Drosophila melanogaster: one gene and its partners. The protein of the gene in region 1 interacts with the protein of each later gene in a pairwise test. Each region holds a gene or a part of one and is shown in the gene's direction. Other genes may lie near its edges. The genes, in order: Lmx1a, Cyp312a1 and Fib.

Region 1 (11,676 bases):
ATGACCCCTATCCCGAACTCCTAACCCATGCTGCCTCTGCTGCTGGGATGGTGGTCCTGCCTGCCTAGAGGTCCTAAGGCATATTTTCAAGGAGTCTTGTGCGGTTCCTTCGGCTGGATTTTCTTTCTTGCCGCACGGCCACTTACCACTTACCACTTACCACTTTCCAATGCCAATGTCTGTGCCTCTTTAGCGCTTATCATGCTCAAATGGTAATTGAAGGGCCATAGAAGAACTATTTATCCTGAGGCTTCCGAGCGTGCTCTCCTCGATGTTGTTGCTGTTGTTCTTGTGGTTATTCAATATAACTCACTCGTTTGCCATTGATAAAAGGAGCAGTAGGCAGGGGGAGAGGTGAGCGGTACATGCACACAATGGATGCATTGAACCCAAACCCGAATCAGAATCTAAATGCCAACTCAAACCCAAAATAAAAGCAACCCGAGGAGCATTACTACCCTTTGCCATTTGTTTTCGGATGTTTTATTAAATTTGTTTCCAGTGCCCTGATATCATCATCCCCAGTTGGAAATCCTGTTTGCCGTCGAGTTTTATGACAATTTCCACTTTTTGCCATTGTCGTTTTTGTCAGCCGACTTCGAACTTATCGAGTGCATAATGTTGTCATCATTATTATGACGATTAGTGGATGGGTTTTAGGTTTTGGGTTTTGTATTTGGCTTGGCGCACAGTCGCCAGTTTGCCAGTTGTCAAGGTTAATTGAATTTTCGCTTAGCCTCGTTTTCCCTGTTGCCATCTAGTTGATATGGCAGGGCATATACATATATAAGCCAACTACTCGTGACTATCTTTATTGGGGGGGCACCAGTAAACCATAATTTCGTCACAGCAGTGGCCAGGATACTAGTGGTGGGATGGCCCTGGCCATTAACCTTATCTCCAAGCGATCCCCCGTTCCAATGGCTTTTACTGCCAAGGATTAATTATGCACACGCCTCCGAATTTTTGGTCTATTGCCGTCATAAAGTCAGTCAGTTCGGACTGTTGGACTTTGGACGAATACAATTGAGTGATTGCCGTGAAATGGCCGTAAATGTTTTATTTGCCTATCGGTGGATGGCGTTCTCTGATGACATTTTACGTTATCATAGAGAATTACCTATTGTACCTTATTGTATTAATTGCCTTAATAATTGGATAGCAATTTTAAATTTGGCATATTTATTTTTTGTTTAAAGGTTTTCGAATTTATTGGATCATATTAACCTTTAATATTTCTTTTCCAACGACTTTGTTTTTCCCCTATTTCCTTGCTACCGTTTGATGCCAACGATTGGGATTCAGATCTCGTTAGCTGCCCTCCTAAACTTCTAATAATTACTTTAAATTCAGCGCACACTTGGCAGCGACTTTGTTTTGTGGATACGAAACGGAAAGCATTCCCTTCAGATTGAGGGAAATTCGTGCAGCAGCAGAAGCAGATACTTTTCGCCGCCTTTGTTATAATTCCGCAGCAAGTGCGCACATTGCTGCTGCTGCTGCTGCTGCTGCTTCGGTGGCCTTTGTGCCAGTTGAATTCGGTAAATAAAGTTTTCAAAGTTGCACAAACTGGCAGCAACAACAATCCACAGAGGTGAAGTGAACCGAAGCGACTGGAAAGCGGGAAAAACAGGGCGAAAAAGCAGCAAGCAATGCCGATTCCTTGTACAAGTGCCGCTGCTCGATGCCAACAAGTTTGGTGAAAAGTCTCCCACTTGGCCAACTGGCAACCAACGGCTGCTCCCCCTGCGTCTGCTTCCCCAGGTATCCATGCTAAGCTACGGAGCACATATCCAGCGTAGGCGACTCCTTGGTTCACAACTTCCACGCCGGTCGGCAGCCCGCTGAGCCAAAGCCTAGTCTTAAGCCGAGGCCCAAACATCAAGTTACTGCCAGGCGATGGTGTGGTGGCCCAAAAGGGGGCCAAGAATTCGAGCTTCGACTCCAGAAGTAGCGCCAAACTTTTATGCACAGCACCATGTTTGGTTTGTCTTTCCAGCTTCCGCTTTTCTTCTTGCCGCTCGGGTTTCTCTTTTCCTTCATCCTTTCTCATCCTCGGTGATAGTATCTGTGCTTCAGTGTGTGCGTGTTTGCGGGGGCGGATAGTTGGGTTTCGGCCTCTTTGGGGGCGCCGGAAATGGGGCTGCCTCCCAGTTGTCGGTGGGCTTTTGATGCTCATACAGGGTGACATTGCCACTTCCGCTTTAAATCGCTGGAAATTAGAGGGGTATGAGCATTGAAAACTTAATAAATCTTAAATCTTGCTTAAAAGCAACTTTTATTTAATTTAAAGATATTATCGGAATAAGAATTCTATAAATGTAATTTCATAAAAGAAACTTATTTTTATGAAGTCTTACAACTTTGAAAACTGCTTAAAAAAGATTGATTTTGAAAAGAAATAAATAAACATCTTTTCTCTTTGAGTAACTACAATAAATAATGTCTTGAATCAATTATAAAGAGATTATACTTCAGTTTTACTAAGTTCTTTAATAATACTATAGTCACAGACTTAATCTTCACTTTTACAGTAGACATAATAACATTAATGGAATAAAATGTATGGAAATCATTATCCAGAATTCAAAACTAGTTCATTTAAATTTTAAGAATCCTTTAAGAATTTCAAAAAACTTTTGTTGTGAGACATTAGGTCCTTAAATAACCTGCCCAATGTATTGAGAAGCACCCGTTCCCATCTTGTTTATCGCCAACTTTTTTCACCCGCAAAAAGTAAAATGCAAGTGCAAAAAAGCGTAAAAGAAGACAAGGCCATTGTTTTTTTCTGCCTCTACTGCTGCCACTGCTGTGTTTGTTGCCTTTGTTGTTGCTGGCATTCTGGTCCAGTCGTGCCACTCAAAGAGCCAACAGCAGCAGCAGCAACAACTCAAGGAAATTGTCGCCGTCGAGCGGCAAACTCGCCAAAGTTGCCGCGAGTGCAAGTGCAAGTATGTCTTTGTGCCCCATCAGCAGCAGCAGCAGCGGCAGCAACACCAGCAACAACCAGCAACATGCAGCTGCCGCACGCCCACCGATGGCCGCCCACAAGCCGACTTGGTCTTGCATTAAAGCCAAGACATCTACGAATATGAGAAAACCAAATATAAAAAAAAACAAAAGAAAAGAAAACCCGCACTTCCCCTGCGCACATGCGCCGTGCGGCAAAATGGACGCCGGGGAAATGGCCAGCCAATCGCAGCGAGGCTGAGGTGTGGCCAGCGATTTGCGAGGGACTTGCTCTCTGCCAGAATTTCCCTCGCTGCTAATAATCACTTGAGACATGCGCACTGCCGGGGCAGAGAGGGGGTTGCTGCAACCCTTGCACCGATACAACCCCTGGCATCACGTGCAACACGAAGAGCTGCTGTTGTTGCCGCAGGCCAAGCGGCAGTTGTTGCTCCGCAGCTCCGTTGCTCCGTCGCTCCGTTGCTTTTGTAAACAGGCGCAGGCGCAGTGCGCGGGGGTACGTTTCAGCTGGGATTTTTTTTTTTTTTTGTGAGGGCAAAGTGAAATGCTTTGATTTCGCTGATGGTTCGATCACACGCCAACTGACAGCGAACGCGGCTGGTTGTCCTCGCATTCGGCAGCGCAAGAATAGGCCACCGAAATCATATTCTAAACGAAACTGAACAGAAGCGTAGTTAAAGTTAAAGCAAAAGCAATCGAGCGTCTTGTTTGTGTGTCGCGTGTTCCTTGTGCGGTGTTGCATGTGACATTTTCGTAGACTCGAAACTAAAAAAGTAACAGCGGTGTTTTGTGGCAACTCGTATACGATGCTGGAGTTCTACCCAATGCCCACGAATCTGAATCCAGTCGGTGGCAGTTTGTACTCGCTGCAGCAGAATCATGGCGGCGCGCGATTCCTGGACAATCCAAATCCCGGCAGCATGACTGCCAGCAGCGGCAACTCCCTGCATCTTAGCAATAGCAACAACAATCTGCCAACAAGCATTTCCGGCAACAATAGTCCCACGGCAACGGCTTCATTAACGGGGCAGCATCAGCAGCACCAGCAGCAGCAACATCAGCAGCAGCAGCAACACCCCCACCAGCAACATCAGCAACACCAGCAGCAACACGCTGCCTCGACCACGCCAGTGCCAATTAACAGCTGCCCCACGCCCACAGGACACAGCCCCCTCAGCAGCAGCAGCAGCAACAGCAACCACAACAATAACAACAACAACAACAACGGGGGCAGCAGCAGCAACAACCTCCACTCAGCCTGCAACACATTAACAGCTGCTGCTGTTGCCGCTGCCTCTGCCGCTGCTGTGGCAGCTCCATCGCCAGCAGGCACCTCAGTAGCCACCTCGCAATTAGGCGGAGCAGTTGCTGCGGCGATTGCTGCTGCTGCTGCGGCGGCTGCCGCTGCGACGACACCCACATCGACGGGCCCAGCGGCCACAGGAAGCGGAAATGCAAATGGCAGTGGCAACGGAAACGGAAATGGCAATGGCAATGGAAACGGGAATGGAAATGGGAATGGAGGTGGTGCAGCAACGGCATCGGCAGCAGCGGCATCCAAATTGTCTGCCGATTGCAGCGGACGCACAGGTATGTTCCAAAAGTATTTTGCACCGGCAGTCGAGCAATTTACCGGCTCGTTCCTCTTCTGGGGTTTTCACGCTTTTCGTTTTTGGCATACTTGCGTGTGCCCGGCCTGCGGGTCCGTTTCTGTATCCGCATCAGCATCCGTATCCGTGTCCAGGTTCGGTGCTGCGCTGCGTGAGTTCCAAGCTGGTCGGACGAGGCTCCAGATTGTGTACAACCACCCACACCTGAGTATGCCGGCAGTTTGCGTGCGATGTGCTCGGCTTTTTGGGGCCCAAGGAATGCTTCTCTAGGGGAAAATATATAGATATTCGTTGTTTTTTCTTGCGAATAAAGTTGAAGTGCTTATTTCAAAAGGTGTTTACTCCTGAAACTTTTCTTTAAGCGGAATATTTCAGCATTTATTGATTGCAGTAAAAATTAGCGTATATATTCATAACATTAAAATAATATAAGAGAAAAGTATTCTTCATATTAATTAGCCTAAAATCAAAAGTAAATAATAATTTAAAAAACATTAAATAAGAATGTTCTTATTTGTTACTAGTTTGCTTTTAGTTTGCAGAATGCAAGTAAAGTCAATTTGGTTAGATATATCATAGGTTTTGTTAATTATTATTGTATCAATATTAGCATAAATCCATGTTTAACTTGGAACTTAATTGCAACTCAGCTTTCAAAGAGTTGGATTTACTTTTTAGCAAGTGAAATAGCCAGAGGCAGATTGTCCACTTATGTAAAAACAGGCAAAAGCAAATGCACAATTTCCGGCTAACACGTACATATATATTGACAGAGGACAATAAATTATGAATTTGTAGTTGTGATGGCGCACACATGTTGTGGATAGTTCAGTGGGCGGATGTGCGGCAAGCATGGCGAAAGTATTTCCAAAAGTATGAACGCAAGTTGACCACAAAATAATTTTGACAATGAACCTGTCTGACATCCGCCCGGCACGGCCAAAAAGAGGCGTGGCTCGACCAATAAAAGGCTATTAAAGCATGCCACACACTGCCTCCCTCCCACACACACACACACACACACACTGATGCTTTGGCATGCAGGCACACATACACACACACTCGCATGCATGACAGCCTCAAAATAGGCAACACTTTTCAGCTGAGTTGCAACGAAAGTGTTGCTGGGGAAAACTTTTGCGAATTTCCCTCCGAAATGCAAAGTGTGCAAACAATGTGTGTGATGCATATGCAGACCAGACCTCGTCCGAGGCTAAGTGGATTGTGTTTTCGGTTTTTTAGTGCCCCTCATCCGCCCACTCAATCGCCCACAATAGCTGTGCTCTCTTGCCGGCCAACTTTGCATTTGCCTATGAAATTTCTATTAATGCTCGCATTCTGCCATTTGCTATTTGCCATTTGCCATTGCCCAAATGGCAGCAAATAGTTTCCGTTTCCGCTCGTTCCGTGCCACTACCCCAATCCACACACCACTCCCCGCCTCTCATCCTAAGCTCCATTTTCCTCGGCAAACACTTGGATGCCGGCTGCTAAACTACTATCGGTGGCCCACACTTTGCAGAGGTCGAGGAATTTCGAATGGGCTGCCATTGGGGGTGGTGTGCACTCGGGGGCAGACCACGGAAATGAGCACACTCAGTGTCAGGTATTCCACCGAGCGTATCAGCATACATATTTGGCTTCTGCGGTGGCTCCAGCTTCGTCTTCCTGTCCTACCCACAAACCCCACCCACCCAATCGCCAGTAGGTGTGCATTTGTGTGGCGGAAGTATGCGCCATACGCATAGTTCTGTGTCACTTTCCGTTGAGATCCAGCTACACTGAAACAAAACTGCTATTCAAGAACTATACGGAAAATCCACTGGAACTCACAAAGAGTACTACATTTGAGTTTAGAATGCAAAAGTCAATATATTTTGCAATCCCTATTTGTAATTTGATTAAATCTGTATCTTACATTTTAAAAGAGTAGTTTTTGAAGTTCATCCTATTTTATTCATTATTTTATATTATGATTAATACCATTTCCATGGTGTAGATAGCAACGAAGAGTTTTAAAGACCCTGTTTGTTTGTCAGTCGAAATGAAAGCTGTCGAATTATGAGCTGCCTGTCAACGATGAACTGCTGCCAAAATCCGCGTGGCACGTGGACTGGACTCCAGTTAGTGGCCGAATTAGTGCCAGAAGTTGGGTGCTGTCTGCCGATTTATCTCCATATAACCCCGCCCCGCTGTCAATGTGTCAATAAATGCACCATATAGTGCGACAATCGTGGGGCGTTCGGGCAGATAAGCCCCTTTATCGGCGATAACGACGAGGACACTTTTCTCTATTAGTTCTATGTTTATCGTCGAGTTGATTTTGGATTTATCTGCTGTTTAATCTATGTATTTGACATGAGTGTGCCGCACTTGTTCCGACTGTTTGCGCTTGTTGTTTGTTGATTTTTGGACAAGTTTCGCCCAGGCTTTACCATTCAAGCCCAAAAACACACACTCACTCAATGCAGAGTCCTTTGTTGGCCAAAACAATACAGAGAAATCGGAAAAAAAGCATACATAAAACTGCAGTAAAATGCCATAAATTTCGATTAGATTACACAAACGAAATCCCGTCACAATATCGATGCTCAAAGCTCTACAAAAACATGAGGCCAAACTCAAAACGCAGCTCCCCTCTGGGGTTTATCAAATGAATCATTCTTGATTTTTTGCTCGGCCCATGCAAAAACCTTTATCGCCAATGCGATTGGATATGGATACTGCACAATAGGATGAAATGCAAGCCAAAAAACAGAAAAAAAAGGAAAATAGGAAAATGCCCGAGGACATTGTCAACTTTCCGCTGCACTGGCTTAGCGCCCCCTTACATAGGGATTTTCGTCCCTATTCCCAGACTATATATCACCCATACAGCCACATTCGCGTAGATATGGCGACTGTGTGCGTTTGTGTGTGTGGGGAGGCCATTGTGCCAACCATAAATCATGCACATTTTTCTGCCACTGAGCCACAGCCATATAATATAACACTCCACTTCCATTGCCAGTTTCCCTCCGCACTTTTTCTCCACTTTCCCTCCGCACTTTCCCAACTCGCTGCTCATTTTTCAAATGCTTCCATACATTTTTCGTGGCGGTCGTCATATATTTTTTATGTTTACTGCATGCAGCTTTTGTTGTGTTTTTCGGGTACTACTTTTTATGACTGGTTTACAGTTTCAAGAGCTCCGTCTACGGGAGGATTAGGTTCGTTCTACTTTGGGTAAGGCGAGCTGAAATCCAGTAGCTCCTCAATGGGAGATTAGCATTTTTTAAGGGACTTTGTTTAGGAGTTAAGCTTTGGCTTAAGTTCGGTGGTATATACAATATCAATTGAGCCATTTTCTGGCATGTTTATATACATTGATAATCGAGATGGGGGGCTGTTCAATAATACCGAACAAATACGGAAAACTTTACGTTTCAATTACGCATCAATAAGCTTTCAATACAAGCTGTTGCAGTCCGACGACAGATAATTTTTTCCAGCGAAGAGTTTTCCTTCTGTTTTTCCATCGAAAGTGCGAAACAGCGAACGGAAAAACAAGAGAGACGTTGAAGCATTTTCACACGATTCGATTGTCAGCGCGCTCCTTGCTCCATTGGCAGCACATGTCATGATAATTTCGCAGCGACATGTGCCGCCATCACGTATACGCCACGTACGCCCATCACAGTAGGGCGAATAAGCGGAGTTACACTGGAACAAAATTACTAAAGTATTAGGATTCTTCTTTGAAATATTTCTGTTCTCAAGAAAATGTTTCATATATATTTTCCAAGTATGGGTTAAATATTCGATTAAATTGATTATTAATGTAGATAGATATATTTATTATATTTTAAACCTCAGTGTATTAGTTACTTGAAATGTATTCTGCGACTTACTAACGCGACTTTTTTCCCCCATCTTTGCTTGTTTCATCCCCAGAAGTGGGCCACATCAAGTGCGAGAAGAACTTCGAGCTGTGCGAGGGCTGTGGCCAGAAGATCCATGACCGATTCCTGATGAACGTGGGCGATGCCAACTGGCACGAGCAGTGCCTGGCCTGCTGCTACTGCGGAATGCAGCTGCACCACACCTGCTACGTGCGCAACTCGAAACTCTATTGCAAGATGGACTACGACCGGCTGTTCGGTGTGAAGTGCTCCTCCTGCTGCCATGCGATCCTGCCGCAGGAGCTGGTAATGCGACCCATACCGAACTTTGTCTTCCACCTGCCCTGCTTCGTTTGCTACGCCTGCCGATTGCCGCTCCAGAAGGGCGAGCAGTTCATGCTGCGCGATGGCCAGCTCTTCTGCTATCGTCACGATCTGGAGAAGGAGATGTTTCTGGCAGCCGCTGCTGCTCAGCACTGTGGGTTCGTTGGCCTGGACGAGGAGGATTTGCTGAGGCCACGGGATGGAAGGAGAGGTCCGAAACGACCACGCACCATCCTCACATCGCAGCAGCGCAAACAGTTTAAGGCCTCCTTCGATCAGTCACCCAAACCATGTCGCAAAGTGCGCGAAGCCCTGGCCAAGGACACCGGCCTATCGGTTCGTGTAGTGCAGGTGTGGTTCCAAAATCAGCGCGCCAAGATGAAGAAGATTCAGCGCAAGGCCAAGCAGAATGGTGGCTCCGGCGGAGGATCGGGCAGTGGGCGTGGCACGGGCAATTCCAGCGCCACCGACGATAAGGACACCAATGACAAGGAGGACAAGTGCGTCAAGCAGGAGCTCGGAGGAGATAGCTCCGGTTATTTGGGTGGATTGGACAGCACTTTCGCCAGCCAGCCGCTGAATCCCAATTTGCCCTTCTCACCGGATGGTAAGTGGTTCGATTTGAAGTTTGATTTCGTCCAAGCATTATTCTACAAGTACTAATGGCTTGCTTTTCAACAGACTATCCGGCCAACTCGAATGACAGCTTCTGCAGCTCGGACCTCTCGCTGGATGGGAGCAACTTTGACCAGTTGGATGACGATGCGGACTCGCTGTCGCTGAACAACCTGGAGCTGCAGTCCACCAGCTCGTCGGGCAACCAGCACTCGCACTCCCACTCGAATCCCCACGACATGCTGGCCAACCTGAACAACAGCCTGATAAACCCCATCGACAAGCTGTATCTCATGCAGAACTCGTACTTCAGCTCGGAGCATTAGATGGCCATTGGCTGGAATGACAGGGAAGCACCGAGGCGATCGTGGGATAGAGACGAATTTATTAGCGTTAGAGTGGCAGGATCCGATGGAAAAGGGACGCGAGGTCCTTGCTGTTACTTTAAAACGTAGCGCGTAGTTGGCACCTTCCGCATTCGGCGCATTAAGTTGGAGTCGTAGAACCGGATACAAGATACATCAAATGTGATTTTTTTAAGCTAATTGAAATTTTAAGATTCTTGGCGATTTGAAGGCGCAGAAAAACGGGGCGGGCAGCACATCTTTTTGTTGGTATAGACTCTAGAGGCAAACCAAAAAAAAAAATGTATAACTCCTTGAGAAATGGCAAAGTGGTCAATGCGCCCTCTTATGTTTGTAAATAGTTTTAACCACCCGAGAAAATTGTTATTAAATGTAATTTAAAAGTCAATAATTGTATTAGCAAGTGCAATTTAATCTGTTCCCCTAAAATATACATCTTAACCGAATTCTTGCAAATGTCTGTGGATCTTATCTTCGAATTAACGGATGCGTTCAATATTTTAAATGGGTTGGGATTGACTTGCGATTGTTAATATTTTTATTTCGCATGATTTTCCTTTATTTCTTATTTTTTATCCTTCGTCTTTTATCGGTAATATCGTCTCTTATTTTAAAAAATTAATTTTTTTTTTATATAATTGTAAGAATATTTATTTATTTATTTCGTATTTATTTACACAGCCTAATTTATTTTAAATTTTTTATTTGCCGTATTATCGAAAAATCCATTTAAGATGCGTTGATGCTTGATAATAAATAAAGAGCACAATAACTAAAAAGAAAACTTATTGCGTTTACTGTATTTACTCGACTGCGAATATATACACCTTTTTTTTGTGAATACTATGAATGCCTTAGTAAAGCTTCATAAATTGACCGAAATATATTATTTAAAAACCATATTTTTTTGCCCGCCAAAATGCTGCCCGTACAAAGCTGGCTTTTATGAAACTCGACCAATAGCGACGACAAAGCGTTGCCACATGGATAGAAATAATTAACAGATGGCAGCTCAGCTACTGCTTAATTCCTTTTAAGCCACACAGTTTAAAGATTTAATATACATTAATTTTTGATCAAATTTTATGAAAGTAATATTTATAAGCCAAATGTTAATAGAATATCGTTACTCACAATCACACATGAAATGTATCGATATGTATTTTTTAAAACAGCGATCGATAGTTTTTTATTTTTACAGTGCACATCTCTAAAAAAAAACAACGCGTTCGTCGAAATTGCAATAAACAATAACAATGGTACAAAACCGAAATAACTGTGAATTTAAGAATTAACATTAACGCTTTATGTAATCTGCAGCTCTTTTACTCCTTCTTCAAGTCGCTGGTGGGCAAGGAAGTCGTTGTGGAGTTGAAAAACGACCTCAGGTGAGATTCGTTTATTTGCCGGTAAATTGAGGAATTTTTAATACTTTCTTTATAATTAAACAGCATATGTGGCACCCTGCACTCGGTGGATCAGTACCTGAACATCAAGCTGACGGATATCAGTGTCACAGATCCGGACAAGTACCCCCACATGCTGAGCGTCAAGAACTGCTTCATCCGTGGCTCCGTGGTGCGATACGTGCAGCTGCCGGGCGACGAGGTGGACACCCAGCTGCTCCAGGATGCGGCGCGAAAGGAGGCTGTTGTGAGCACAAGATAAGAATACCACTACCAGCAGCCCAATTGGATCTACCCATTGCTTCGTAAACTGTCCTAAAAACCTAAGTGAAATTCTGTTAAAGCAAAACCAATAAGAGGAATCCCCGTATTAAGTCGCTATGTACGTTATTTACGGCCCATCAGTTTTCGATGAGTCAGTCTCGAGGTTACCGTGGGTGCTGCTCCCTACGCTTGCGCAAATGTCCCAGCTTTTATCGCTCCACGCTTGAATGGAGCCAGTAGA
Region 2 (10,313 bases), 5.8 Mb from region 1:
AAATGTTGGCACATCATTTTGATCGGTATAAAAGTCAAGATTGAATAGTTTGAGGTTTTAGTAAGAAGAAGTGATATTGCAGCCTTAGTGCAGCAAGTGAATTTAGTCGAGCTAAACGGGTTTTGAGAATTATCTTCTGAGAACATGCTTGTGCAACTTAAAAATAAAAAATTGTTGTGTTACCATATGCAATTTTGGTTATTTTATTTTTAAAATACGAGTTGGGGATTACACGCATATTTTGAGTTCTTTAACCTAGTTAACCTAGTTAAACCTGTCACATATTTTTGAATAGGAACATATTGAGACTTGTTCCTATTAGAGCTCAACTCAAATCTGGTTCACTACTGACAATAAAGATACAACAATAGCTTTTATGAAAGTTGATTGAATCGATCTGCTTATGGTTTGGAGACTTCAATTTCGTATTTATTTATAACTAGCTCTCACGGCCATATGGTACAATACATACAAAGTCGAAATTGTCATCCTAGGAATTGTTTAAAGAGTAATAGTCATTGTAAAATAATAAATATGCATGCAATTAGACAAATTTAAAACCTATTGATTACTAAAGACAACAATTTGATTTCAAGGCTTATGTATTGTTATATATGTATACTATTTTAATGACTTTGAAGAGCCAGAGTGATTTAATTGAATCAACATTCGCTAATGAAAGACATTTAATTCCCCGAGCTTAATGAAGCCTTAGATTGGGCTGTCAATTAAATTAATTTGAAGCAATAAATACGCACGTAACACCAACCGATTGAAGATCCCAAACCCTGTCAGAGAAACGGAAACGGAAGCAGCCGTCGAGTCTCGTTTTTAACTTCCTCAGGATGGGCGCTTTGAGCTGAAACCGCCTCAAACGCCACGAAAAAATGAACACAGACCGCAGGAGCAGGAGGCGACGAAGTGAAAGACACCGCCCGCGGCTTCCATTTACAGCCCGCCTAATTTATGCTAAACGCGTCGCGTCTTTGCATTTAATTGTGAAATTAAATTTGATGCGATTAATGTTGACACAACATGCGATTAGTGCTTGAATTCTGCACTGTAAAAACTTTTTAAATGCAATTATTTTGGTGGCATTTTGCAAAGAAATTAAACGTACTTAGAACCCAAAGAAGACAGAAAAATTGTAAGAAACATACATACAAATACACATAAATTATTTGTCTTCTATATGTATAAAAAAAGCACAATTCCTTGTAGTATTATTCGCTGCGCTTAAATGTATTTATGATACTTTCTCTATTTATTAACAAAAGTTAAAATTTTTAAAGGTGTAATCCTTCGCCCACTTGCGGTTGCCCTTTGGGCTTTGCTCGGCTCACCTTTGCTGAGAGATGGAGATACTGGCAGATATCTATTAGCCAATCGCCTTGCATTTGGCAAATTATCGTTGTTTATAATATGACAATATTGGATGGCAGCGACAGCGACATGGACAAGCCTTACATAAACAATAATTAAATGTAGCCAAATTAAATTTTACACAAAAGCAGAACACAAAGTGACAGCTGGGCGGTCCCTTCCACGGCCTCCTGGCCCATCTCCAGCTCCCTCGTCCTCGACTTGGAAATGTCTGCATAATTATGTGGTGCAAGTGGGTGGGTGGATGGGAATGCCTCAGTTGAGTGGTCGAGGGCATGTGTGAGTGTCGTGGCTGATAATTTGCAGTTTAATTACAGAACACCGATGGCCACAAACAACAATGACGAGGGGAAGATCGAGTTACCCAGCACTCGATAGTCAAATACTCTAGCCGCAACTCTCTTATAACTTCAATAAAATAAATACATATTTAAAATCGAATAAGCCAAGTGGATTCTGTATTTCCTATTTAAGTATGACTGGATCCGGGTTTTGAAGTAAATAATATTATAAGACTTGTGACCATACAAGTACAATACATAGGAATGCAAAGAGTACTCATCGCATGGCCAACACTTTGCTGCATAAATTCAAATTAGTTTGGTACAGTCCTATCCCAATATCAAGTCCTTGCTGGACTCATCCTATTCGAGCCTCACCTCCTTTCGTGGCCACGCATCACTTTTAATTTCGATGTGAGACAATGTTCTTGGTCCTGTCAGGTGCATAACTGCATTATGTCCTTGTATGTGGCATAGGCGTCCTGTTCGCGTGCGGAGGGGAGGATCACTGTTTATTGGCGTCCATTAGATAAGGAATTTACGCGAACGCAATTGTTGGGCTTCGCTTCGACTTCAAAGGGTTATTGTCGTGCTTTGTCCATTTAGTTCCGATTAGTGGCATTGAGTGGCATCCGCGATTATGCGGAGGCATTGAATTGAATTTATATAGGCGCAAGGGGCATGAAATATTCGAATGCAATAGAACTATGTTTTTTAAATTTTAAAGTATTTATGTCAGTAATAAAATTTTAAATAAATTATTTATAACTTCAACATAACTGCGTTAATGAACCTAAAGGTATGCTGCACATTTTTTCATTTTCTTATGAGAACTAAAATACTTGCAACATTCTTATGTTGCACACATCTTAACTAAATAGTAAATAAACACAGTTTATTTAATATTAGGAACTCAAATAAGTATTTATTTCTTGGCTGAAACTAGGTTTAACGTACTTTTTATTAATAAGTTTATAGTAATACAAGTTTGTTTACTCATTTGTTATACACACTATCGTGATTACACATCTGAAAGCTGAGCCTAATAAAATAATTTTAATTAAAATCATACGCATGTCATTCAATGTCCTCTTATTTAAATAAAAATTTCTGAAACGCCGGAAGAGAAGGGAACTGAAACACAGAGATATGTATATACACAAGTAGCGAATTGAAGGATGAATTATTTTTGTATAAAATGTTGACCAGCGAATATTAATTGCAACCCAGACCCATTCGCTTTAATTACAATTACTCTTGTTCTTTTATTGTGTATTTTGTCGGCTGATAACTTTTTTCGTGTTAATTAGTGTAATCGTGGAGCAGGGGAACTACCTTAGTTATTGTACCTGTCACTATTTGTATATTTGAATTGAATGGCAGTTGGTCGAGAGGAAAACCAACAACACAAACTCCTGAAGAGTGTATTAAATGACAATCACAATAAAGTTCCCATAACTGTAGAGCGAATTTTAATGAATGTGTATTCTATGCGTAATAATGAAAATAAAACAGATATTATATAATTGACAAATATGACACACTGTTTACGCATTAATTGCGGGGAGTTAAAGCCAGCTATACTCGTACAGTTTTGTTTGTTCTTAGCTGATGACTCTGATAATTGTAATTTTTTTCAATTCAAAACTTTAATTCAATAAATATTCACTTCATGTTCGTTAACTGTATTTGTTGTGGTATTTTTTATTGGCATATTTCCAAGCATTTATCTTCATTACAATTTTTGTGGTAGGAAACTGATCAATATCCTGGTCAGCCCACTTCGTTATTCCCAAATCAGGTACTTTCTGTAAGCTAAATTCTCTTATCTTTGTTTATAACATTTTAGGAAATTGAAATCACAATTTCTCTCCACGTATGCACATAAATGGGTGGCCCCAGCGCAATAATTCGTCAAGTTTTATGAGCTTTATGAAATTGGTATGCAACCGACAAAAGTACAATCGAAATTATAATTCAGCAAATTAAACGATGCAGCATCGATGAAATTGAAGTGTATTTGCTTGCGAATTTTGGCATGACGAATCTTGAGTTCAGGGATGTTACTACTTAGTTAGATGTTGTAAAAAAGAAGAACTCTAAAAGCTCAACTATTACAATGGAAACAAAAGTCAATATATTCTAAAAGTATTTTTGTTTTCTTGAAGTTTTGCTATACAATTGGTTACCGTGAAAAATATACTAAAATGGCTTAGCTGCAATTTGCTATTACAAGATTATATGATCCTCATACTTCATCTATATTCATCATCATATATTTCATTAGGTATTCTTCTACGGCTGCAGTAATTGGAACACTTTAGTGTCTTATATCATAACTTTAAAGTTAAAAGTAGCAAATGTATAATAGAAATTTCAAAATAATAGCGAAAATTTGAAGAACTTAGCAATGCTATCCTAGAGCATTTCGAATCCGACTTAGAAATCTACGATTCACCGATTCTCAACGTATTGTTTACATCTCCGATGCCCGATGTTAAGTACTTAAGCGACTGGGGGGCGAGCAAAAAAGAGTCACTTCAATTTCGCTTCCACATCGATTTGAATACGCTTATAATATACATATTCGGGTGTAAGAAATTCGTATAAATAAATATGCGCAGTGTTAATAACGCAGTCGACCCGACAGTTGCTCTTAATCGCGGCGCTTTTGCGCAATACTAAGCCAGTGCAGAATATTTAAGATCGTTTAGTTTGTGCACTCAAAAAAAAAAAAAAAAAGAGAACACCAGACAGTGGTTATTTGAAGATGTTAATGTAAAAATCCAATACTACTGTGAATGGACTAATATTATAAGAGTCAAATGATTTTATTCAAATACTATTCACCTTTTGACGGGTTCGCTTATGAATTGAAATAGAATGGTGTTAAAAGAAAAGACATAAAATGCACATCGATAACTAATTTTATTTGGCACTTTTATGTGACAATTAATCATTTAGACCGCGCATAATATTACAAATTGAAAAAACAAATGAATGATCACATTTTACTGTGAATAGTAAATGACAGCTTGTGAGAAATATGTCGCTGTACACTATTTTTTAAATTTATACACTGTGCACCGATTCGGTTTGTTTTTTCTTGTGTAAATTCGCTTGTTACCCAACTTTTATGACCCTTGGGTCCGGTGACCCTTTAGTAACCGTCTGATCTTCGCGTCTGTGTTCCGCTTAAAACGCTTGATGCGACGCTTCAACGAGGCAGTTGCTCTTTAGAACGTCCGTCGCAATGTTCTGGCTGGGATTCGGATTGCTGTTGCTCGCGTTGTCCCTATACCTGCTATATGTCTTCGAGCGGCAGAGCAGGATCGACCGGCTCACCCACAAATGGCCAGCCCCACCGGCCCTGCCATTCATTGGCCATCTGCACATTCTAGCCAAATTGGTGGGACCGCATCCACTTCGACGAGCCACCGAAATGATCAACGAACATCTACACGATCATCGAGCAAAACTATGGATGGGCACTAAGCTCTATCTCGTGGACTGCAATCCCAAGGATATACAGGCTCTGTGCAGTGCCCAGCAGCTGCTGCAGAAGACCAACGACTATAGGGTCTTCGAGAACTGGCTCTGCGAGGGTCTCTTCACCAGTGGATTCGAGAAGTGGTCCCATCGCCGGAAGATCGTAATGCCGGCCTTCAACTACACCATGATCAAACAGTTTGTTGCCGTCTTTGAGAAGCAGTCGAGGATTCTTTTGACGAATGTCGCTAAATTTGCCGAGTCCGGGGATCAAATTGACTTTCTGCAACTGATCAGCTGCTTCACTTTGGACACTATTTGTGAAACGGCCCTCGGAGTCTCTGTGGGTTCGCAGTCGAGCGCCAAGTCGGAATACCTCGATGCTGTTAAATCGTAAGTAAACTACACGTGTATTACAAGTCCCTTAGAGACAACTTAGTTTGTATTTAATCAGCAACTACGGTGTGATGAATCATAAAATTTTCGCACATTAATTAAACAAAACAAACAGTTGAGAAGATATAAAAGACTCATCCAGCACGCTTGTTCAATAAAAATTTCGTAACCCATTATAGATAGCTTAATTGTTTATTAGTCAGACCTTTTTTTTATTTACTTACTTGGAAGCCATAGAAAAAATACAAGTTACAGGTTACGTTAGTTTTTAATATTGATATTATACATCTTCGTTTGCTCACAGAATCCTTGTCATCATCGATAAGCGACTGAAGAACATCTTCTACCGCAACTCGTTTATTTTCAAACGCACATCGCATTATAAGCGAGAACAGGAGCTGATAAAAACGCTTCACGGATTCACAGAGGGCATTATACAGAAACGTATTGATGAAATCAACCAGGATGCAGAGAATCGCAACTACCAGAGCAGTGATGCGGAATTGGACGGAGTGAAGCGGACCCTATGCTTTCTGGACACCTTGCTACTGTCCAAGGGTCCCGATGGCAAGCCTTTGACAGTCAAGGATATTCGCGAGGAAGTGGACACCATCATATTTGGGGGATTCGATCTCACGGCCACCACCCTCAACTTTTTCATGTATAACATGACTCTTCATCCGGAGCACCAGCAGCGATGTCGCGAGGAGGTGTGGTCGGTATGCGGCAAGGACAAAAGTGAACCCATCTCCATAGAGCAGGTGCGCCAACTGGAGTTCCTGGAGGCGTGTATAAAGGAAACTCTGCGGATGTATCCTTCAGGTCCACTCACTGCCAGAAAAGCCACAGCCAACTGCACAATCAGTAAGTACATATTGTTATTTGTTCCTAGTTATATATATACAAATATTTTAAACTTTCTAGATGACTTCTTCATACCGAAGGGTAGCGATGTAATCATTTCACCAATTTACATGGGACGTTGCAAGGACTTCTTTCCGGATCCGATGGTCTTCAAGCCAGATCGCTGGGCAATTGGAGCGGAGCCCAAAATTGAGGCCACCACTTTTATACCCTTTATGGCGGGGGCTCGGAGTTGCATGGGCCAGCGGTATGCGATGGTCATGCTCAAAATGGTGCTAGCTCACCTGCTGAGGAACTTCCTGTTCGAGCCCCTTGGCGAGCGACAGGTGAAGTTGAAGCTCAACTTTGTGATCACGCTGCATACCGTTGAACCCTATCTATGTAGAGCTAAAAATCTAGATTGAGGCTAGCCAAAAGTTTTTCACTTAGCCAATACGTTTGTCAATAAAGTTAGGTATTATTGTAGGTACATTCCGCTTATTCTAGTCTTTTGTGTATTTTTTTTCCTTCAGTTAAGCTGCTTCTACATGGCCCAAAGATTGCAGGTATTCTTTCTGTAAATTATGCCTCCTTAATTAATTCAATCAAACAGATAGCACACTCTTTTTAAAGCATTTTTATCAGGGATTCTTTTAAGAAAGTTTAATTTACGAAGGCTTTTCAACTTCAAACTTATTATGAAGCTTTTAGAATAGACCGCTATCAATTCGTTTCACTTGGATCCTTTCAAAGCGTTTACGTTTCATTGCGACGCACAACATTTCCGTTTTTAATGATATACTCGTTTAAAAAAAGAATTCTATACGATTTGAAGTATTTTTTCGCCTGCTCATTTTTATGCGATTTAAGCAGGGCGCGTTCGTCTAGAAAATAATTTCTGGCTGGCGTGGATTTTTATTGTGGCAACCGAGCAGCGGAAAATCAACAAACATTTCCTGGCGCTGTAATAAATAAAAATGCATAAAGCAGCCACCAAACCGTCGCCAGTCAGTCACTCGGTCTGCCTGATCCTGCCACATCCTGCCTTATCCTGGGGAAAATACACACACTCCCACTCCCGCCGAATCGCCATTATCCACCAGCATCATCATCGAATTCCGGTGCAAATTATGAGCGTTGCCTGCTTATTATTGCGACAGCCACGGGGGCGCAGGATAAGGCGGAATATAAAATGCAATTTATTTAAATAAAAATCAAGTTTAATTCGCAGTGTCGTAAATTTTTCTTTTATTTTTTTTTTTATACTCTTCAGCTCGTCCCGGGCATTGAATTTCACGCTTTTGTTAACAAGCGCATAAAAGTTTGTTCTATCTGCCAACTGATACGATTCTGGCATTCAGAAGCCCCAGCAGAAGGGGTTAGAAGACTGTTGAACTCAGTGGCTGATTGGTGGTGTGAGTTTCGGGGGTGGGTTGATTCTCATATTATGGCCGGTACATGAGAACGGAAACGATTTCAGCCAATTTCCAAGCATTCCAAATCGATTTTAATCAATGATAAAAAATACATAACAAAATATCAAGCCATTTTTTAACAGAGAAAATAGCTTAAAGGTTTTGAAGAGTTACACCAGTAGTTGGTAGAAATAATACTGTAATTAAAGAATATTTTCAAAATGCCAAGAAAATTTTATTTCTAAACATACAACAAACAATGTATTAAAATGTGTTAAATATAAGTTGTCTTAAGTTAAATAATCAATATGCGAAATAAATGTCTGGTCAAACGACAAAATAAAAAGGTGAACAAATTTTTATTCTTAACATAATTTAAATAATTTTCCCGCTAAACCGGATTTTAATTTTGAACCCGGTAACTTTCGTTTTTCGTTTTAACGAAATAAATTTTGTAACTTAAAAAAATGAGTGCATTTGATGACGCCCAGTTGAAATTTTATGACCACCCCCACCACCTTAGGCCCGTTTAAAATCCATCTTGAAATTAAAATATGCGCCTAAGGAACATGTTCCCAAAAACTTTGAGTGCTTGGCCAACATTTTACGATCGTTTTATTGGTTATGCAATCGCGGAGGGAGGCTTTAACCCTTCTGTTGGCACCCGCCATAACTTAATTATCCATATGAATCCTTGCCGGCTTTTATGGCGACCCAACCCCAGCGGCATTAATTATGATGAGTACTTGGTGGTGTCTCTCCTTTTTAGTGTCAGCTGTCTCATATTTTTATCTATCTTAATTCGCAGATCTTCACGGTGGCTTTCTCGTCGTGTCGCCGCCCATTAAAGCGATATGGAATCCAGGTCCGAATCCTAATCCCGGTCCAGACTTGACTTGATGTTTTATTGCTGCTGACTGGGCGCAGTTTTCATTTACACAATTTTTATGCCCAGCATCTGTACATCGGGCATAAGTTTATGATGGAGCATAATTCACGGCGTGGGCATCGTCAATGTTTAATGATCAAAAAGGCCCAAGGCGAGGGTTCTTAATTATAATGAATTCGGGAAGTCTGGGGTTGTTTTGCATTACACATTTTATTTTGGACTGACTTGGAAATGAATGCAATAATCTGTGGATGTATTTCGCAAAATTTCAGGTATTTCAGGTATTATCTAATATCAATGAAATTATTCATTATATTTTTATAAATAAGTGCAAAAATGTATTGATTTTATTGACTTACTAAACTGTCGAGAATCAAGGCTACTTCGAAATACTGTTACCAATTAACAACAAATTTTTTTTACAAACAAAATTCATTTGTCGTCAAGACGAAAGTGGCTATTACGGCCACATGTGGTTTTGCTTGCCGCTTTCCGGTTAATTCACAATTCTCATTGTTTCAAGTTAAGTAAACCAGTCGGCGCCCCAAAATGAGAAAACAGATTAAACCCTCCGAATTGTGGTCGTTTGAGGTGAGCTATGGCCAAGTGATGTGTGATGGGGCTTGGGGTTTCATGTGGGGGGATGTGGTTTTCGATAAGATGGGTGGGTGGGCGACTTTGAAGTAATCGGTCCCGGTGACATTGCCCTACGGCTAAGCCTCATTTGTGGTTAAATTGTGTCGCCGGTCGGCTGCTGAAAGTCGATTATGTCAATATTGTCCTAGGTTTACGACGGCCCCACGGCTAATGGCTAATGGATGGTGCCCATTTGCTTCTGGATCGCATCCGGGGTTTGAGAATGCATATTTGCGATAAGCTGCAAGTTTGCGGCCAACTTGGCCGCAGCTCATATGCTAATTAGTGTGGCATACTTTAAGGCCGCTCACCGATACGCATTAAATCGCAAAACTTTACGACGTGAAAAAGGGGGCGGCTCCCAAACGCCCATATGCGAACAATACCGCTATAAACTTACTGTGGAAATGCATAAAAATGCGTCGGAATACATTTACGAATCGAATTACAAGCGAGTTGCGAAAAAAAAGGGAAAGAAATAAAAGGAGTAGCTGTGCTACACATTAAAAACGCATAAAAATCGGCCAAATAAAACACTACAACGGACAAAACCGAATGGAAAAGCTACACATAAAGTGGCTATGAACATAAAAATCTGGATGGCATTGCAATTGGGCGGGGATGAGGAGGTGGAGGAGGCTTTTGCACAGAAACCAATTGAAGCAATCAATTAAAATTGATCAACGAAATTGAATCACGTGTTACAATTTTCCGCATCCACTTACATCATGTAATCATCATACATTTATTACATGTAATAAAGTTACAATAAAATTCAAGACCATTAAATTGTCTCAAGCTGGAGATTTTGTTACTTTAAAGTGATTTTTTGTTAAGTATCTTTCACCGCTAAAGAAATCTATTTTGAATATTTTTGATTTATTTGTATGCCAATTGCAAAAGTGGTCCCTTAAAGCTTATAAACAATGCTAAAGAAAGTTTTACCTTTCCAGCGAATTTCCGAAAGGGAATTCGCAAAAT
Region 3 (8,285 bases), on another chromosome or scaffold:
CTGCGAGGCGTTGGCCACCTTGGAGCCGAACTCGCCGCCCCGGAGACGCATGCGCAAGTCCAGGGCCCTGATGTCCGTCATCAGCGAGTGCTGCTTGTTCTCCAGATCCACGTCGATTCGCTTGCCGTGCTCCTCCAGCAGACTAAAGTTGGTCTTGCTCTCGTCGATCTTGACCTGCAGTCGGCGTCGTATCTCTCGCAGCTTCTCCACCTCCAAGCAGAGCATGTCGTGCGCCTGGTCCATGCACAGTTCCATGCCCGACCTCTGGGCACGATTCTCCAGGCGTGTCTCGGCCAGCTTCAGTGCATCCGTCTTGTCACGCAGCGCATTCTCCGAGGTGCGGATCTCGCACATGGCCTTCTCCATCTCCTCCTTCATCTTGAGCTGCTGCCACTCCAGTTCGTTTCTGGCCCGCTGCGTCTCGAAGATCCGTTTGCGGATGGTGTGCTCCGCCCGCTCCTGCTGCGACTGCAGCATGTTGCGCGCCTTTTCGCGGCACACGAACAAAGCCTCCCGAATGGCGTACGTGTCGGCCAGCTCATTCTCCGCCAGCAGCTTTATGTTCTTCACGTTCTCCAGCCAGGACTCGTAGGAACAGGAGCTAAGTGATTGGTTAGTTATCCTACTGAGCTACTGGGACATTCCATGTGTGACTTACTTCTTGGGATTTCTCGTGGGATCCGGCTTGTATGAGATATTGGCCGAGTTGCGATCGAGCGCCAGCTGTGAGTTGTCCAGCTGCACCGCCTCCACCTTGAACTCGATCTCCAGGCCGATCTTGAAGCGCACTTCCTCCAGACGATTGAGCTTCTCCCACGCCTTCTGGCATCGATCGGCCAGCAGGCGCTGGTTGTTCTCCAGCACGACCAGTTCGTTCTTGATCTCGGTGTCGGCCTCATCGTAGGTGATCTCCGATCCGAGGCGACCGTCCCTTATGGTCAGGCACTCGGCTATCACGGAAATCGGACCTGCCAACGCCTCCAGCTCCCGTTCCGTGGCATTCTTCTCCTCCTGCAGCATGAATATCTCGCGCTCGATCTTCTCGAAGGACTTGGAAATGATATCCCGCCAGCGATTCAACTCGGAGATGCTGATGTATAAATTACAGATTATTAATCGTGCTGTTAATCTTAATATAAGATATGGACACTCACCGATCGGTCAGAGCCTCATTTGTCTCGTAGTTGGCCCAGTCGCCCTCGATCCGCGTCTCGTTCCTCAAGGATCGGGATGAGTGGCGGATGGCGAAGGCGTCCGACCTCCGGGCATCCGCCACATTCCGCATCTGGTTCACACGGGCATACCAGTCCGTCAGCGAAATGTGCTGGAGCGGCTTCTCCATCGTAACCACCGAGCGGAAGGCCATTATGTTTGCAAAAGTTTAGGTAAAACAGCAGGATTTATGCGTTAACAATTTCAGAAAGTGTGTGCTCCCAACTAGAACTCTCAAAGCGGAATGGAACGTTTTTCTCAAACATCGATTTCAAGTGGCTGTTTGTTTGGTCAACGAACACTAGATCTCCAAGGCACTGGGGTCATTGTCAAGGACTACGGGATTGTAATTATTAATCATATACTTCCATAGTTACATGCATCAAATAAGTAAAATATAATAATGTAGTGGCTCATAAAAATTAAATTAATTTAATAAATCAATCAATAATTTAATTGATCAATCAATTTTTGAATTGAATACAAAAAAAAAAGAATTACATTATTTGCAAGATATCCAAGAATAAAATGTACAGTTTTTCAACCTTTGTACCACTATGCACAATTGCCTCTCCGCCTGGTGTTGAACTTAGCTACAGTCCCAGCCAAGTTTCCCACCTAACACACACACTAACATCATTCTCTTGGTATTTTCGCCTTTGTACTTCTGTATATTATCACTAAAATCACTGCTGCGGCCACACTCCGGCACACACGTGTTTTTCTTTTCAAGCGTTTTGGTTGCCGCGTGTTGACGGACTCAATCACATTTCGTCGAAAGTTGTATTAAAAAGTGCAAGTACAGCAACATAAAATGGGCAAACCAGGTGCGTAAAATCACGCTCTAACGATACAAATCGAAGCAGGCGTCGCCTTTGCTTTTGATAGTCTCCAACTTAACCTCTGAGTCAACCGAAATTCAAATGCGGATCTTTTCTATTGCAGGATTCAGTCCACGCGGTGGTGGCGGCGGCGGCGGAGGAGGAGGAGGTGGATTCCGTGGGCGTGGTGGCGGCGGCGGCGGAGGAGGCGGTGGATTTGGAGGCGGCCGTGGACGCGGTGGCGGCGGCGATCGCGGTGGCCGTGGAGGATTCGGTGGTGGCCGTGGAGGAGGTGGTCGCGGTGGTGGTGGCGGCGGCGGCCGTGGTGCCTTCGGAGGACGTGGCGGCGGCGGTGGTCGCGGTGGCGGCGGCCGTGGAGGCGGTGGTCGCGGCGGAGGAGGACGTGGTGGTGGTGCTGGCGGCTTCAAGGGCGGCAAGACCGTCACCATCGAGCCGCATCGTCACGAGGGAGTGTTCATTGCGCGCGGCAAGGAGGACGCTCTGGTCACCAGGAACTTTGTACCTGGATCCGAAGTCTACGGCGAGAAGCGCATCTCCGTTGAGGTTTGTTGTTCTCATCTTTATTCACTTACCTTCCCTATTCCTAGCTTATGATGAGGTTGTGCAGGGGTACAGAACATGGCATCATGTGGCCATGAGCATCCTTGGCGGTCACCTGTGGCTGTGTGCACTTCAGGTGCACGTGAAGCAGTCGCGGAGCTCCAAGGGCTGCTTAGAATAATGCACAACTGAGGCGAATTCCTATCTATCTACCCTTCTATCCCAAAACAAACAGAACCCAAACAAGTCCACCATCTTGAAAAGTGATTTGAAGCTACCTGAACAATCCAAACAACTCTGTATTTCACTCAACTTACTTACTTCTTGCTTTCTGCTATAATTTTTAAGAAAGAGCAATGGATTTAAATCTGTTCTTCTTTGCAGACCAATGGCGAGAAGATTGAGTACCGCGTGTGGAATCCCTTCCGCTCCAAGCTGGCTGCCGCCGTTCTGGGTGGCGTCGAGCAGATTCACATGCCGCCGGGCTCGAAGGTTCTCTACCTGGGCGCCGCCTCCGGAACGACAGTCTCGCATGTGTCCGATGTGGTGGGACCCGAGGGCCTGGTCTACGCCGTGGAGTTCTCACACCGATCCGGTCGCGATCTGATCAACGTGGCCAAGAAGCGCACCAACATCATACCCATCATCGAGGACGCTCGCCATCCACACAAGTACCGCATGCTGGTGGGCATGGTGGACACCATCTTCGCCGACGTTGCCCAGCCGGATCAGGGCCGCATTGTGGCGCTGAATGCCCAGCACTTCCTGAAGAACGGCGGACACTTTGTCATCTCGATCAAGGCCTCCTGCATCGACTCGACGGCGCAGCCCGAAGCGGTATTCGCTGCCGAGGTGAAGAAGATGCAGGCGGACAAGCTGAAGCCCCAAGAGCAGCTCACGCTGGAGCCCTACGAGCGAGACCACGCCGTTGTCGTTGGCGTCTACCGACCACCGCCCAAGCAGTAAGAAGTCGTTTTCTGCTGGGTTTAGTTTTAAGGCTATTGTACTAATACAGACGAGTTGTATTAAGTTTCTTTTAAATATAAAACCGTAGTTATAAAGATAAATCAAAATGCACATTATTTTTGTAGCAGACGTACAAAATATACACAAAAACCAAATGCCAGTGTAACAATATGGAGTTCCTATGAAAGATGAAGATCTTTAAAGTCAATCTTTGTACAAACGTGGTTTTTCTGAGGGGTATTGCGGAAAATGGTTGGGCAAGGCTGGTATACACTAGTTTGTTTTCATCTTCATCACAGAAAGTATAATGCTTAACAATGAAATGTCAAAGAAATATTAAGGTCAGCTATTAGTACCCTCTGCAAATTCACAATAAATAAAAAATAAAAAAAGTTCTGCGCTGCGGACAGGATTCGAACCTGCGCGGGTAGAACCCAATGGATTTCAAGTCCATCTCCTTAACCACTCGGACACCGCAACTGTGTCGCCCCGGTGGCAAAGTTCCTATTTGGTATGAAGCATAGATTTCAGCACCCCCCTCACCTATCTTCGCCAGGTATGACGCACCATTTATACAGACACGAACCAAGAACTATTCACGGGGTGGTGTCTCGGCTTAAGCCATTCTTAATGAAAATTGGAGTTTCGTTCACGTGGGGCTAATGAATCCATAAAGATTATTAGCTTAATACATAAATAAATAAAATAATGTAGCAATACATTATTTTTTAGTTCGCTCTCACTTAAGCTAATAGTTTACATATAGAAGTATGAGCACATGTCATGAAGAGCAGCTATCAATTAAACTAAAACTTGTGGTATTGAAGAAATTGAACTGCATATTTCTGCATTCAAATATCTAGTGATTTACTGTCATCGCTTTGCAGAAATTCAGATGCTTATCAGCATAGAATTATGCAGGGAGAGATATCAGTGACAAATGGAGCGGACTTCAATAAGGCTGCGGTGTCCGAGTGGTTAAGGAGATGGACTTGAAATCCATTGGGTTCTACCCGCACAGGTTCAAGTCCTGTCCGCAGCGATAGTGTAGTTGTAACACGTTTTTTTTTTGTCGAACCAATTTTAACCCGAGATATTTTTTCAGACCTTTTAAGAATCTTTCATCGCATATATCTTGTGAAAATACTTGTTTAACCAGCACATACTTGATTGAAACACTCATTTAATGTGTTCGTATCATTTAAATTACTTTATTTAGCTGTTTTGCAGCGATCTCAAAATATATGTAACAATATAGAGGCGTAGTGCATTCTTCTCTCGGTTGATGAAATACGACTTTAAGCTTAGCCTAGGAATTTCCCGTGCGGGCTTTTGAAGATTCTGCCTCGCGAGAGACACACAGATCATAATCATTCAAAGAGGACATTGGTTTTACATTGCTCGTTAATCTTTAGGTCTTAGCAACTAGGGTAAAATCATAATCGCATTGATTCTTGAATAAATGTATATCACTGAACTGATCAGCCGCTCCTCGTTAGAGACACCTACAACTTGGCGCGCTTCGGCACGCCGATGGCCTCCAAGACACCGCAGGTCTCCAGATGCTGGAACAGCGTCTGCAGGTACTCCTCGCGATGCCGTATATAGTGGGCGGCGTGCTGGGACCGCTCCCAGCACTTGAAGGTAACCTTGATGTTCGCACGCTCCCAGTCCTCGCGAACGGACTGGTTGGAGGACGGCGGACCGATGGGATCGTTGTCGGACACGAAGAACAGCGCCGGGGCCTTGAGCAGCGTGGAGTGGAACATCTGGCTGGAGCGCATGTAGTGGATGGTGGCCTGGTTGTGGAATGTCTTCAGGTGGTACAGCGTATAGTTGCGCAGGGCGCTCTGCATTCGCTCGTTCCTCGGGAAGATCGACTTGGGCACGCCCACCGGGATCTCGGTGATGTCGGCGGCGCTGTCCCACACCTGGCACACGAAGCGGTCCAGAATGCTACCATAGCGATCCATGTCGCGCGACATCTGCAGCATGATCTCGCCCAGCTGGTAGGCGCCCACGGAGAAGCCATGCATCACAATGGGTTCGTACGACTTGTTGTTCTCCAGGAATCGAATAGTCTCGGCGGCCACCACCTGGTCAGCAGGAAATGGATGCATTAGTGTTTGAATGACTCAACTTGGAATGTAAACTTTGAAGGGCGGCTATTACCTGGGATCCTTTGACCGGCCAGAGTAGCTGCCACGGCGTAATGTGCACCACCACCACATCGAATCCCATCTCAGTGTAGATCTGGGCATACTTCTTCAGATGCTTCTGCTTGGCCATCAGCCAGGCCATCATGAGAACCAGTGGGTTGCCAGTGGGCTTCTTGAAGGCCAGCGTCTTGGGATCCACCTCAACTTGGGTCTTGGTGCTGGTGTACAGGGTCATGTTCTTGGTAATATCCTGCGAGGATAAGTACCGGCGATTGTTCGACGGCGCCATGGCACTCTGAGTTCGGGAGAAACGGGCTATTAGTCATGTTCGGGCACAGCTGATGCGGGATGGTTAGTGCGTTGGGTGGGTAAAATGAAACTTTAGAAACAACAAACAAGTTGGAGTGCAAGGCATACGTTTAGAATTCAATAACTAAGCAAATATGCATACGATTTCGATTCTCTCCGCTCTTCAAATGTGCGACCAAGCGATTACACCTAGGCTATTCCATGAACTAATCGCCCTGCGAACCAAAGTTTGGATAGGTCCAGTCACTAACTGAGCAGCTAACTGATAAGATATGAAAGCTTAAGTGGTTAATATGGTCCGATCGGCTGCAGATTAGCGGGGGCACCCAAATCCATGCAAATTAGGGGGAATACTTATATTAAGTATTTTAGCACTGATTTATCCTCGGCAACAGCTGCTGACCTTGAAACTCGCTCAACACGTTACAATCATGAACAGCTGTTTGTGATAAGATAAGCCCAGGTGTGTGTGCATTTGGTTATTTCATGGAATCATGTTACCGCGATTGATATTCAATTACTACGATCACTTTTCGAACTCTCAAACACTGTGATTTATAAGGAAATCAAAAGACTAGACTATTTTCATACCGTTTTCAGTGGCGAGTTATCAGAAGTTGCTTGTAGCAAGCACGAAGGCAAGTGACCAAATGAAGGAGGTGCAAAGGTTTTAGGTTCTTTTCCCCCATTTCAGCAAGGCTAAGCCGACTGATAGCATTATAAGTTCGAAGATAGCCCCGCAAAGTCTGACGATAAGCAGTTGCAATTTAGATTAGTGAAACATTATTGTGACCTAACAGTTTCCGCACTATTGAGTTAAATGAGGCTCATTATAATTGAGACAAATCGTGACTTAATGCTGGAGCACACTTTCACTTTGGCTTGACACTTTGAACTTGACCGACGACCCCAAATTGTATGGCCACTCACACGTTTCGCCCGATGATAGATCTTCAGCAGTATAATTGCCAATATGACCAGTAATGTTATTTCAATTAGGAAGTCCATATCGAAGATAAAACTAAGCAGGTGCAACGACTTTGACCGACTGACTGATCCACATTATATAGCATATAGTCCAGCGATCCAGTGGAACGATCACGGATAGTTGAGCGGAATTGAGGCGAGCTTACATTCCCAATCCCCATGGAAGGTACATAGTTATTTCAGCTGATGTGTGTGTGTGTATAGGGAGGAATATGTTTTTTCTACTCTTTGCGGCATTGGTTTAAATTACATTGCGGCACTGGAAGCCTCAGTCCCATTTGCGAAAGGTGAACTCTTAGTCTCGACTAAAAGATACCATGTGAAATTTAACTTAACAGGATTCTTTTTATATTAAGCAGTATTCTGCCCTAATTTGTTGATAGCTAACACTAACCTTTATAGATGAGTGTATAGTGACTATCTTTGAATCCGAAATACCCAGACTTAAGTTTTAACTTGGGTATCAACTTGCCGCCTAAAAATAAACACAGAACACGAACATTTGGCGGATCGAGCGAAAGCTTGGCATTGGGGCGCCATTATGATTTGAATCGTGAAAAAAGCTGTGCCCCAGCTCAATTGAGCTTGCTGAATGCGAGGGTGGATCCAGAAGTGTGCCCCAGGATAAGGGCAGTAGTTCAATGGAACTGGAATATTGATGACATAAATTAATAATATCGTTAATTGTATGGTTAGTTCAAGCGGTTAATGAGCCTTCACTAATTGCAAAACAACGATTAGAATATGTGCATATGTTTACAAATATATACAAAGTAAGCTAAGCTTATCTGTACAAATCACCATTGCAGAGGAAGCGAGGTTGGGAGAGATTGGAAACCGAAATCATTTGCCGGGTACAAAGTGCAGGGACTACAGTTTACTCAAGCATGCAAATTTCCAAAGTCACCAACTATAAAGTGCTTAAAATGAAGAAGCGAATTGGAGGTAATTAAAGGTTCAACCGCAGATCAACAACAGATGTTCAATACAAGCTGCTCTACAGCTCATTAGCGTATACCCTGCAATTTATGGCTCATCCACGTATGATATCTGATCTATGCATCGAAGCTATTGTCATTTTTTTTAAGCTTTTTAAGCTGTAAAACTATTTTCTAATGCTAACTACGTTGACCGCGTCATGGACAACTACATTTAATCTTAGGCGGTTCAGGTTTATCTTATCCTTTTGTAAAGTACATATATATTTTCATAACTACTTGCGTCGTGGAGATAATTTTGCTTTAGAATAAGTAACTAAAGAAATAATGTC

The links.
Region 2: the proteins of Lmx1a (region 1) and Cyp312a1 interact in a two-hybrid assay, tested with the Drosophila melanogaster proteins (one large-scale study listed by BioGRID).
Region 3: the proteins of Lmx1a (region 1) and Fib interact in a two-hybrid assay, tested with the Drosophila melanogaster proteins (one large-scale study listed by BioGRID).

What each region holds. Positions count from the first base shown.
Region 1 is NT_037436.4:12,325,694-12,337,369, forward strand, and holds Lmx1a (LIM homeobox transcription factor 1 alpha), read left to right. Parts: upstream 1-3,538; 5' UTR 3,539-3,776; coding exon 3,777-4,560; intron 4,561-8,513; coding exon 8,514-9,392; intron 9,393-9,466; coding exon 9,467-9,726; 3' UTR 9,727-10,208; downstream 10,209-11,676. Other genes in the region: CG10418 (uncharacterized protein), read left to right, coding at 11,022-11,024, 11,086-11,153, 11,217-11,433.
Region 2 is NT_037436.4:18,126,671-18,136,983, reverse strand, and holds Cyp312a1 (cytochrome P450 312a1), read left to right. Parts: upstream 1-4,294; 5' UTR 4,295-4,917; coding exon 4,918-5,546; intron 5,547-5,853; coding exon 5,854-6,413; intron 6,414-6,473; coding exon 6,474-6,817; 3' UTR 6,818-8,044; downstream 8,045-10,313. UniProt on the Drosophila melanogaster protein: May be involved in the metabolism of insect hormones and in the breakdown of synthetic insecticides.
Region 3 is NT_033778.4:23,068,336-23,076,620, reverse strand, and holds Fib (fibrillarin), read left to right. Parts: upstream 1-1,895; 5' UTR 1,896-2,026; coding exon 2,027-2,039; intron 2,040-2,157; coding exon 2,158-2,597; intron 2,598-2,652; exon of another isoform or gene 2,653-2,792; intron 2,793-2,978; coding exon 2,979-3,560; 3' UTR 3,561-3,712; downstream 3,713-8,285. Other genes in the region: CG3085 (uncharacterized protein), read right to left, coding at 1-601, 659-1,090, 1,155-1,366; l(2)k09913 (lethal (2) k09913), read right to left, coding at 5,066-5,656, 5,733-6,014. UniProt on the Drosophila melanogaster protein: S-adenosyl-L-methionine-dependent methyltransferase that has the ability to methylate both RNAs and proteins. Involved in pre-rRNA processing.